Linked DNA regions of Canis lupus familiaris. The protein of the gene in region 3 purifies or fractionates together with the protein of the main gene of each other region. This does not show direct contact. Links are inferred from orthologs where the notes say so. Each region holds a gene or a part of one and is shown on either strand. Other genes may lie near its edges.

The links. Proteins that work in one complex are often made in the same cells at the same time.
Region 1: the proteins of SNRPA1 (region 3) and SF3B4 purify together in Homo sapiens (affinity purification with mass spectrometry; 3 studies listed by BioGRID and IntAct, counting the BioPlex papers as one, with this or other methods). This does not show direct contact. The link is inferred for Canis lupus familiaris from reciprocal best matches to the Homo sapiens genes SNRPA1 and SF3B4.
Region 2: the proteins of SNRPA1 (region 3) and SF3B1 purify together in Homo sapiens (affinity purification with mass spectrometry; 8 studies listed by BioGRID and IntAct, counting the BioPlex papers as one, with this or other methods). This does not show direct contact. The link is inferred for Canis lupus familiaris from reciprocal best matches to the Homo sapiens genes SNRPA1 and SF3B1.

Annotation. Positions count from the first base shown.
Region 1 is NC_049238.1:59,867,874-59,871,906, reverse strand, and holds the start of SF3B4 (splicing factor 3B subunit 4), read left to right. Parts: upstream 1-1,233; 5' UTR 1,234-1,356; coding exon 1,357-1,390; intron 1,391-1,837; coding exon 1,838-1,966; intron 1,967-2,234; coding exon 2,235-2,777; intron 2,778-3,100; coding exon 3,101-3,307; intron 3,308-4,033. Other genes in the region: MTMR11 (myotubularin-related protein 11), read left to right, coding at 1-31. UniProt on the Homo sapiens protein: Component of the 17S U2 SnRNP complex of the spliceosome, a large ribonucleoprotein complex that removes introns from transcribed pre-mRNAs.
Region 2 is NC_049258.1:6,839,143-6,843,376, forward strand, and holds the start of SF3B1 (splicing factor 3B subunit 1), read right to left. Parts: upstream 2,801-4,234; 5' UTR 2,670-2,800; coding exon 2,642-2,669; intron 1-2,641. UniProt on the Homo sapiens protein: Component of the 17S U2 SnRNP complex of the spliceosome, a large ribonucleoprotein complex that removes introns from transcribed pre-mRNAs.
Region 3 is NC_049224.1:40,147,674-40,151,173, reverse strand, and holds part of SNRPA1 (U2 small nuclear ribonucleoprotein A'), read right to left. Parts: intron 2,274-3,500; coding exon 2,227-2,273; intron 1,978-2,226; coding exon 1,875-1,977; intron 1,242-1,874; coding exon 1,162-1,241; intron 744-1,161; coding exon 668-743; intron 1-667. UniProt on the Homo sapiens protein: Involved in pre-mRNA splicing as component of the spliceosome. Associated with sn-RNP U2, where it contributes to the binding of stem loop IV of U2 snRNA.

The DNA of each region.
Region 1 (4,033 bases), on a different chromosome or scaffold from region 3:
TCCAAATACCATTCTTTCCCAGTCCCGTTGAAATTGTTGTCTTTTTTATGGGCATGGCAGAGGGGGTCCGGGGTGAGGGAAGGTTCTGTCTAATCCTCCAATTTTTCTTATCTTGGTCTTGCTGTCTCAGCTTTTGACACTCCAGCCCTCAACAAGCTCACTGACCTTTCTGTTGCAGATGGGTGGTGCTAACCTTCTCCAACTCTTGCCCTGTCCTGTTTCATTCTCGAGATATGTTTCTCATGATTTGAGGAATTAAGAAACAAAAGCAATCCAGAATACGATTACCTTTGTTCTTTTCAGGGCAATTCCATCCCTCTGGATACCCAGCCGATAAGCTGTGAGATGAGAGATGCTGTTCATCAGTTCAAAGGAGATGGCCTACAGAACTCATTCTCACCTCCTCTTGCTGCTTAATTCCAATTTCTGTTTCTTCCCTCTGGTTTTCTATGGGTATGCTAGTGGGTATGGGACACATCCTGTCTCTCCCAATTGTATATTTTGTAGTGACATTTCTATTTAACGAGTTCATTAAAGTACAGTTGCTGGCATTATCTCTGGTGTCTGAATAAAAGATCCTAAGTAAAAAAGCGATGATAAACCGGGAGAAGAAGGGACCCACCATATTATTGTTCAGGAAATATGGAGATAGGTCAGGCTGTCCACACTAATCGTTTCGTAAGATGGGGCAAAGAGCATGCAAAGACATGGTTGGTGGGCCCGGGGTATTCTGGCGGTTGAAACTGAGGCCCCTGGGCTGCAATGTCAGGTACCCTCAGCTCTGGGCACACATCATCTCTGAGCCTCAGGTTTCCATCTCCCCCATGCAACAGGATCATGTGAGCTCCGACGCCACTCCAGCTCAGACACTCCGCAATCCTCTCCCCAGAAGCCGCGGGCCACGGTGGAGGGCTGCCTCCGCACCCTAAGGCAGCCGAATCCTTGGGTTGGAGGGTTTCCTCAGCACACCCTTCTCCGGGGAACAAAAGGATAGTTTGCCAACAAAATATTTCTAAATAAAGTTTTGTTCTTTTAGCTTTTGAGTTTACATTTTTAGGAGTACTGTGATCCTTTAACGTCCAGCACTGCCTTAAGAGGGTCTGGGCATTTCCGTTCGGCCCTCATCGCTTTGACCGCTAGCAGCGGCAAATCCGCGCAGAACCACGGACCGGAGAACGCGGCCCCACAAGCCGCATCAAGTCTCCGCAACTCCTAAGATGGCCGGGGCCTCTTCCGGCTCCTCCCCCATCAGGCCCCGCCCACCGCCCTCGTGACTACCTTCGCCCCGGAAGTGGAAGTACTGACTGAGGTCAGAGGGCGGGATCGCTGCCTGGAGACGGCGGGAGCTCTTTCGCCATGGCGGCCGGCCCGATCTCCGAGCGGAACCAGGGTAGTTGGAGGGGATGAGGCCAGGGAGGCTGGGAGGCCTCGAGGAAGGCCAGCCGTGTTTTCGCCGGGGCAGGAGATCGGATCCCCCCGGAGGGCGCGAACCCGGCCCCCGTGCCGGCTGGGGGTGGGGTGGCCGGGTGCAGGCTGAGGCCTGTGGTTGTGATGCTCTGTCCAATCTCCTGCGCCTTCCCATTCAAAAAAACAAAACAAAACAAAAACCCAAACGAAAACCAAAAACAAAGCAATTCACAGAGAATTTGCAGCAGAACCTTCAGTTAGACTTAAGAAGGTTCTTTAGTTCTGGAATGAGAGAGATGTAAGGGCTTACTCTCACGTCTTTTTCCTTTTTTGTTCCTATATCCCATCTCCACTCCCAGTTCCCCCGCCTGTCACTTCCTTCTTTCCCGTCGTTGTCTCATCCCTGCCATAATCTGCTCATTTCTCTTAGATGCCACTGTCTACGTCGGGGGACTGGATGAGAAGGTTAGCGAACCCCTGCTGTGGGAGCTTTTTCTCCAGGCAGGGCCAGTAGTCAACACCCACATGCCAAAGGATAGAGTCACAGGTCAGCACCAAGGTGAGTACATCACAAGAGGCGTGTTTATGCATTGAGGGGACAAGCTGCTCCTGGAGGGTTCCGGCAGTATTCATAGGCAGTATTCATAGCCGTTTTGGAATCACCTGTAGATTCTTCCTTTTAAGTGTCATTCAATGTTTGCTTCTGGAACCATTCCCAGTTGAAGTGAGGTGGTTATTTCATGTTCTTTGTGCTTTGGAAGGTGCATGAGTTACACACGAAATTGAATCACTTCACTTAAGTTAATCTCTGCTTTTCTACTTCCCAGGCTATGGCTTTGTGGAATTCCTGAGTGAGGAAGATGCTGACTATGCCATTAAGATCATGAACATGATCAAACTATATGGGAAGCCAATACGAGTGAACAAGGCATCGGCTCACAACAAGAACCTGGACGTGGGGGCCAACATTTTCATTGGCAATCTGGACCCAGAAATTGATGAGAAGCTGCTTTATGATACTTTCAGCGCCTTCGGGGTCATCTTACAAACCCCTAAGATTATGCGGGACCCTGATACAGGCAACTCCAAAGGTTATGCCTTTATTAATTTTGCTTCATTTGACGCTTCGGATGCAGCTATTGAGGCCATGAATGGGCAGTATCTCTGTAATCGCCCCATTACTGTGTCCTATGCCTTCAAGAAGGACTCGAAAGGGGAGCGCCACGGCTCAGCAGCTGAACGACTTCTAGCAGCCCAGAACCCACTCTCCCAGGCTGACCGCCCTCATCAGCTGTTTGCAGATGCACCCCCTCCGCCTTCAGCCCCCAATCCTGTCGTATCATCATTGGGGTCTGGGCTCCCGCCACCAGGTAAAGCTTTTATTCAAAGTATTTTTGTCTTGGGCTTGGGGTGTGGTGGTGAGCGGGGGCAAGGGGAGGAGAAAAGAACTTGATAAAGGGGGACATGGAGTCAGTAGGTGATGAGAAAGAGAGTGAGGGGTGACAGTTGTGGGGAGAAAGTTGTTGAGTTGAAGAGGCTGAAGTTGTTCCTAGTTATCTAGTATTGCTTCTGATTTTAGAGAGCTGGGAGGAAGGGAAGAGAACTTATCCTGCCTGAGGAGGCCAGATTGAACGGGCTTTCTAAAGACATTCTCTCCTTACTATCGTTAACTTGTCTTTCATTTCCTCTATAGGCATGCCTCCTCCTGGGTCCTTCCCACCCCCGGTGCCGCCTCCTGGAGCCCTTCCACCCGGGATACCCCCAGCCATGCCCCCGCCACCTATGCCTCCCGGTGCTGGAGGACACGGTCCACCATCAGCAGGAACCCCAGGGGCTGGACATCCTGGACATGGACACTCGCATCCTCACCCATTCCCACCAAGTGGGATGCCCCATCCAGGTGAGTGTTCTTTGCTGGGGAAAAGGATAGATAAGCTTGTTGGAGGAGCTCCACTGCCACATGCAGTGCTGCCCTCATCCCTCAGCAGTAATAGTAGATAGTCCCGGAGCTCTGCTTTTTTTTCAGACATTCTTTTATAAAAACAAACACGAGACACTGTTCTCTGTTTACTTTAACAGCTACCACCCTGTCTCCATTTATTATACAAGTTTTTCCAAAGAGTGTAACTGTACTCGTTTGCTTTTTCCTTTAACTTTTACTTCATTTTTCTCCTCCGACTTCTACCCCAAAGCAGTGACCTAATTGCCAAATAGAGGGGGCACTTCCATTCTTTACCTGGTTTGCCATTTGGTGTACTTGAAACTGGGTGTGTTGTCCTTTTTGAAAAGCTTGCCTCTTGGTGTTTCTGGATTTTTCATCTGTCTCAGACTCCTTAAAGTTAGCCACATTAGGGATCCCTGGGTGGCGCAGCGGTTTGGCGCCTGTCTTTGGCCCAGGGCGCGATCCTGGAGACCCGGGATCGAATCCCACATCGGGCTCCCGGTGCATGGAGCCTGCTTCTCCCTCTGCCTGTGTCTCTGCCTCTCTCTCTCTGTGTGACTATCGTAAATTAAAAAAAAAAAAAAAAAAAAAGTTAGCCACATTAGTAGGCTTTTCTCCCTCTCCATGTAGCTGGGTTTTTGTATCTGGTTCTCTTTTCTTTTTTTTTTTTTAATTTTTATTTAT
Region 2 (4,234 bases), on a different chromosome or scaffold from region 3:
TTAAGCGGCCCCTTTCTGTGAAACTTTTAATATTTCCAATATAATCTCTCAATAAATGTTAATACTCAGTACTCATTAGGCATTAGGTACTGGGGATACCAAGAAATAGTTCCTGTACACATCAGTCTCAACGTGGATAAGAAAACCTTGGGCAGCCCGGGTGGCTCAGCAGTTTGGCGCCGCCTTCCACCCAGTGCGTGATCCTGGAGACCCGGGATGGAGTCCCACGTCAGGCTCCCTGCATGGAGCCTGCTTCTCCCTCTGCCTGTGTCTCTGCCTCTCTCTCTCTCTCTCATGAATAAATATTTTTTAAAAAACCTTAACACAATAGAATATTCTAGTATAATAAAGAGCTACAGTAGCACCTAGGTAAGTAAATAAATAAATAAATAAATAAATAAACCCACCAAGAAATCTGCTCCAGGCTATCAGAGATGACTTATTAAGGGAAAAGAGAAGAGATGCACCATGAACCATTCCAGATCTTTAGGAAAGTATCTCTATGTAAATATTATGCATATTTCCACTAAACATTGATCATCCTTTACCAAAAACTCACAGTGACAGACTGTCTTATACACAGTGCTGTTGTTAACTGAATACTGCTATACTTTCTTTATAGCATCAGTTAATTCATACTGTAGCAAGATTCCAAATAAAAAAGCAAACTTGGCCAATCAACTTCAATCTTCTATAGACCAAAGCTTTTAATTGAGTCTCAAAAAAGCAGGAAACCTGATCCAAACCTTGATTTCCCTGTCCAAAAGTATCTTTATGATTAAAAATATCAACAAACAAGTGATCAAAGCCACAAACTGCCCCCAATGAACAGCCTACTCCTGAATAAACAAGAGCAACATCTTCAGTTTCTAATTATTTTGCAAAAGGTTACATCCGGATTAGTCTAAAGACAGAAGAGTAAGTGCCTAAACAACCTTCAGGGCTAAAACAGTGTTTAAATCCTAAATACCGGGCAGCCCGGGTGGCTCGGCGGCTTGGTGCCTGCCTTTGGCCCTGGGCGTGATCCTGGGGTTCCGGGATCGAGTCCCGCATCAGGCTCCCTGTGGGGGAGCCTGCCTCTCCCTCTGCCTGTGTCTCTGCCTCTCTTTCTCTGTGTCTCTCATGAATAAATAAATAAAATAAAATATATATCTCATATAAAATAAAAAATATCTCATGAATAAATAAAAAAATATAAAAAATAATAATAAAATAAATAAATAAATCCTAAATACCTACCCCCACAACGAGAAGAGTATTAAAGTCACTGCCCATTAATTAGCATGTCGCAGAGAGCTGGACTTCAGTTCTGGCGGGGAACACAATTATTCCAGGGCATTCACATCCTGGTCCCAACCAACCTTTCCAGATTCGCCTACACTTTCCCTCCCTGCAGCGCCACAGTCCACTACTCAAACACACTTTTCAGGACTCCTTGCCTCGTTACAAGATGTCCTCTCAGGCTCAAATGTCCTCCCCTAATTTAAAACGGATTGATCCGTTTAGGCCAGGGACACGTCACCTCCTCTATGGAAGAGTCCTACCTAGGCAGGAATTAATCACTCCGTTACCCAGAATCCCAGAACATGCGGCCTGTATTTCTATTTAAGCGTTAATTTGCCTCATGAAAGAATGAAAACGTATACACACACACACACCTGTCTCCCCAGGAGCCTGTAAAACTTTGCACGGCCTTACTCTTTGTTACTTCGGACTCACACGGAGCCAGCACCTGGAAACGACCCGTGAAAATACAAATGACTCCTGGAAGCCTCCCGTTCGACGAACGCTTCAGATTCCAGGTCAGAAAAAAAAAAAAAAAATCCTAAGGAACGCGCCTCCCAATGCCCATGCCTCATCTTCTCTGAAGTGACCCTATTTCCTGTCATTTCTGGAAACTGGATACTCCCTCAAGAACTCCGGCTTATTCTCAGCATTTTCCTAAATTCCGTGTTCTCCGAATTCCACAAAACGATCAGGTACCTCGAAAGCTTTGACCGCTGGGAATAATAACGTGCCTTTCCCTCTTCCACCAATCATCAGTCTCCAAGGGGGGGGGGTGGGGAACAAACACCAATATACAAGTGATCACGGGAAGAAAAAACTACCAGATTTTATGTCCAAATCACTTCATACAAAAAAAAAAAAAAAAGTATTTTAGATGCCTGATTAGCCGAGACGAAGAGGAACGGGCCTCAAGCAGGCTACGCTCGAGTTGGCGCTGCCGAAAAGCGGCTGCCGTGTTCCCGGGCTCCCCCGACTCCCCCGGGCACGAACTGCGCCCGCCACAGTTCCGTGAGGCGAGGGCGACTCCCGGCTTTCACGCCCGTTTCCCCGATTCGCGGCCCTGGCCTCCCCCCCGGCGAGCCGTCTGAACGAGGCCTTCCGCTCGGAAAAGAGAAGCAACTCTGAAGGAACAGGACCCAAACGCGGAACAAAGCGCCTGCCCGCGGTGGAGGAGTAGGACGCCATTACGTGGGGCAGTGGCCTGCGCCGCTAGCGCCGAGGAGCCGACCAGGGCCCCCACGCGCGGGCGCGGCACCCCACCAACGAAACCACAGGCCGAGGCAAAAACCGAGTAAAATCGAGTCTTGGCAGGCTGGCAGCAGAGAAGACGCGGGAGCACGGGAAGACGCCTTACCTTCGTGGGTCTTGGCGATCTTCGCCATTTTGTCCACTCGAACACACAGACGGAACTGGCGCTCCCCAGCACTTCCGCTCGCCGCCGCTGCCACGGAGAAAAATAGCTGGGGAATGCTCTCTGCGCGTGCGCCAAGCGGGGGCGCGCGCCGCCGCGCGACACGTGACGGAGCAGCCGCCTAGAGGGAACAGAGCGATGCATTGTGGGGGAGGGGGAGGAGCCAGGGCCCGGCGCGGAGGCGGTTTTCGCGGTGGCGGGAGGAGGAGGGCTAAGCGAGTCCTGACGCGGGGGCGGGGGCGGGGGCGACGGCGACTGCTCTGGAGGGAAGTGGGTTGTGCGAGGACCCGCTGATAGTCACTGCGAGAGACGCTGGATTTCAGGCCCGTCCGAAGCCTCAGGCCGTCAGTTCTCGTCCTCCACGTCGAGCGGAGGTGTGTCGGTGCCAGGCGAGAGCTCCTGTGGCGTCTCTCAGCGGCTGCAGTGGGTAGTTGTGGAGACACACACCAGTCACGTCCTTCGCGCTGAAATTCAAGGTCATTTTTCTTTCTTCTTAAAGAATTACTTGCCATTTGGGTAGGAGTTTCGTGCACAACATTATTATTTCCAGACACTGTTGTACCTCACAAACAACCCAGGAAAGTGGGCGAGTTGTTGCTAATCCCATTTAAGAAAGGAGAGGAAAACTAGGGCGGGGGTGTAAATAAAATATGCAAGGTCACACCCTTACTGAATTACCCGGGAGGAACTGTGCCGTCCTTTTTTAAAGCCTTTTAATTTCATAGGTTCTTAGAAAACCACTGGCTGTCAGCATTAACACTGATGGAATGCCTTTCTTTTTTTTTTAATTTTTATTTATTTATTTATGATAGACACACAGTGAGAAAGAGAGAGAGGCAGAGACACAGGCAGAGGGAGAAGCAGGCTCCATGCAGGGAGCCCGACGTGGGATTCGATCCCGGGTCTCCAGGATCGCGCCCTGGGCCAAAGGCAGGCGCCAAACCGCTGCGCCACCGAGGGATCCCTGGAATGCCTCTCTTAATCCTAAATGTCACTCTTGAATCAGGAATTTTTAAAAGCTCCAAATATGGCTTTTCTTTTTTTTTTTTTGCCTACTCCTCAATTACAAAAGCATAATTTTGAACTGCCACACTGGCCTTGGACTTTAGGATTAAAAAAGAACATAACTTTGAGGGGAAGTTGGTACAGGAAGCAGCCTAAGGAAACAGGTAAGGATTAAGGTTAGAGCTATCACCAAAAACGTTTGCCTGGCTGTGTAACAGGATCACAACATGAGTATTTAGTAGAAACTTTAGTAACAAAAATGGGACTTAGTATCAATGAAAAAAATCAATTTGATGAGAGAAAATTTTCAATTTTCAATTGTTTTAATTTAGGTTAAACAATAGTTGAGGGAGGAAAGGGTTAAGAGAACATGTAGATTGTTTTTTTAAAAAAAGATTTTATTCATGAGAGATAGACACAGGCAGAGGGAGAAGTAGGCCCCCTGCAGGGAGTCTGACATGGGACTGGATCCCAGGGACCACAGGGGTCACGACCTGAGCTGAAGGCAGACACTCAACCCCTGAGCCATGC
Region 3 (3,500 bases):
ACAATGGACATGACCAGTTTATTGCATCTAAGTGTCAATCACACAGAAAACCCTACAGAAGTCCACGGCAACTCTGTGAGGTGGACTATTATACAGTTGTGCTGGGGTAAGAATTTTATCGTCATGTTGAAATCAAACCAAATCATAAATTCCCCAAATTGGTAGATGGATGTGGACCCTCTTACAAGAGAGAAAATAATCATTGCACATGTCCTAACAATTTAGTGAATTAAAGCACCTTTTTGGAACTATGTTACTGGATAATCTAGGAAGCAGTATTATGAAATTAGGATTTCCCATGATTAACTAACAGATCTTTCAGACAGCAAATCTTTGAAAAGCTAAGGCAAACACTGAGACAACATGCTAAGGTAATTTAACTATTTAAAAAAAAAAAAATAGATCCTGGGAAAATGACAAAGAACCAGAGCTGCCTCTGCTTTGACTGGCTCATGTAAATAATTCAAGTCAAAATCAGGTAGTAACTTTAAGCTAGTTCCTTCCTTACACGGAACATAGCAGGAACCTAACTCTTGTGGGGTTGTGGGGTGGGGTGGGGTGGGGTGGGGGAAGACACTACAATGTTTAGAATTTGGTCAATTACATATTTCATGTCCTAAAACCCACGGCAACTCTTTCCAGTCCAAGAGTCCTAACCCGTTATTACCTTGATTGCTTCTACATCCCCTGGAGATGGCCCACCTTTCTTTTTGTCAGTTGGCAAACCAGCACCTGGATTGAAACTTGGGAGGGGAAAGGAGAGGGAAGAATGCAACTGTTAAATCCAGACAAGGGAAACTGCTTCTCTTTTACTTTCAAAAAAAGCTTTTGAAAGTAATTCAACCAGTGTAGTATCTTATCTTTGTTAACAAACTGATACAAGAAACTCCCTCCTTCAGAAACACCACCCAGTTCATCTTCCTATAGAGAAGAAGCAGGAAGTATACAATGTCGCATTAAGACTGAACATGGAAGTATTTGCTAACCTGATGGAAATCTCATGTGATGTGTGGACCAGTGATGGTCACGGGGCTATCATCACACGAATTCAATACTGTGTTAGTCACAGGTGTTTTGTTTAATTCTGTAGGAGGGCAAAAAGCCAGACAGATAGTGTTTCTGAAGGTGAAGTGGAGTGAAGTTGGATTATCTGTATCTTACGTTTTGCTTCTCCTGGCAATATCCTTTGCAAGTTGTGCACCCCGTTTGCCCTTGAACATTTTCTCTGCTTCCTGACGCTCCTACAGCAACACCACACACAGAGTTAATGGAAATAGGAATACCACATGCATTTAAATGCATTCCTCAGAAAACATGGAAGGAAACTCTCCTGAAACACTCGGGGCTGGTAAAAATACCAAAAAGCCAATTTCAAATTAAAAGGAGACAAATGGCCTTGCCTTCTCTGGTGAAAGCTCCCTGAAGAAAGCTCCCCCTCCTAGTTTCGAGGAGGGGGTCTGGAGGAACTAAGAATGTTTAAAAAGAAAAAACAAAAAACACAAACCACACACAAACCAAAAACACACCTAGTAAAGAGAAAATCATTCTAACAATTACAGCTGCTGAAAAATGGATTATACTAAGGTCCCCACAGGGGAGTGGATCTAAACGATCTGTTGTTGATGGTGCTCATGGTTGCTCTGATATTGTACTACCTCTGAATGACCAACACTACCATGTAAGACAGCTTTAACTCAAAGTCCTGCTATATAAACTCTGCTATGAAAAATAAAGGACTTAACATTTTCCTTCCCACATTTTTATTACAAACCAATAGGAAAACTCATTAGGCAATTAAAAAAAAATCAGTAACAAAAGTATAAAATGAAACACACGAATCTACAATGACTTATAACCCACAGAACAATACTTACTTTTAGTTTCACTTTCTGGAAATCCAGTACTCTGACTTGCGGAACTTTATAAATTACATACAGTCTATAATGCTTCTTGTTTGTTACAGGATTTCTCAGAATACTACAAGAAAAGGAATAACATAATGCCAATCTTACTCACAGTGCAGCATTCAACAGGTCCATTTTAATGGAATCAGATGAGTCAATTTTGTCATGTTGCAGAGTTATTAAATTCACATTGGGGAGGTTTCACATTTTCAGTCCTTGTTTTTCAAAGGTCCTTCTTACTAACTGTTTGCTCTAAGATCAAGGCTGGTAATGGTGCTATTATAAAGGACTTAACTGTCACCACCACAGATCATTTCCATACCTTAGGTAAGTCAGTGATTTGAGAGATGCCAAAGGGTCTAGGTCACCCTGTAAAAGAAATGGCCAGAGGTAAGAATATGAATACCATAGGCTATTCTGATACTCTGATATGGCAGATGCCTTTGGAACAGGGACTCCTATCTTTTATTTCTTTAATGCCCTAGCACCTAGCACAATACTAGCACATCACCGATGCTTAGTAAATTACTGACTAAACTGTTAAGTAGATTTGAACTTCTTAAACTGAAAATCCTAGCCATAACAGCTTCTGTCTCAATATTAAGAGACCCCTCCCCCTCAAAAAAATTATATGTCCTGTAGCAAGCTCAAAAGGGCTAGACTTTAAAGGAATTATTTAGAAAAGAAATATATTAAAGTTTATGTGACTTCAGAGCAAATTATTCACACAAGGAACCTCAAACTGGATCTTGGGGTAAGGCGGTTTTTACCACTAGTACCTGGACATGCCTGGTGGTGACACAGGCATATCATCGTTGAGGCCTGGCACCTTTATTCAAGGTTCCCTCAAACTGCTTTAGATAATTATTCAAGGACAAAGAGTATAGGGGGAAGAAAAAGGACACAATTATGGGATAAAGGCAAGTTAGTTTTTGATTCTTTCCAAATTATCACATAAGATACAGCTCAACAAGGATAGCAAAACCAAAAGCCTATGGTCAACAACTACAATTAACCTAGACGAAAAGGCATTCTGGCAAGAATCCTAGCAGGTAGAGACAGACCATTGTGAGAGCTGCAAGACTGGCTTGGGAGCCAGCATTTGTACAGGAAGCAACAGCAGGACAGCAGAAAGGCTTGTGACAAATGTGAATACCCCAAAATGACCAAGAGTTCAGTCTGAGAACAGCAGCCAATAGCTATGTATCTTCCAATAAGGAGTACATTAAGTCCTGAAGCAACTGGGCAATTCTGGCCCTCATTCTTCGTACTAAACACAAATGGTATCCTTTCCAGGACAAAGCCCTACAGTGAGGATAGACTGGTAGGACCAGACTGAAATTGAGGACAAGGCAAAAGGAATAATGAGAGAAAAGTACAGGGGTACAGAGTAGGAGTTCAGAAAATAGTCTGCCATTTTTATTTTATTTTTTTTAAGATTTTGTTTATTCATTCATGAGAGAGAGAGAGAGAGAGAGAGAGAGAAAGAGGCGGAGACACAGGCAGAGGGAGAAGCAGGCTCCATGCAGGGAGCCCGATGCAGAATCTCCAGGATCATACCCTGGGCTGAAGGCAGCGCCAAACTACTGGGCCACC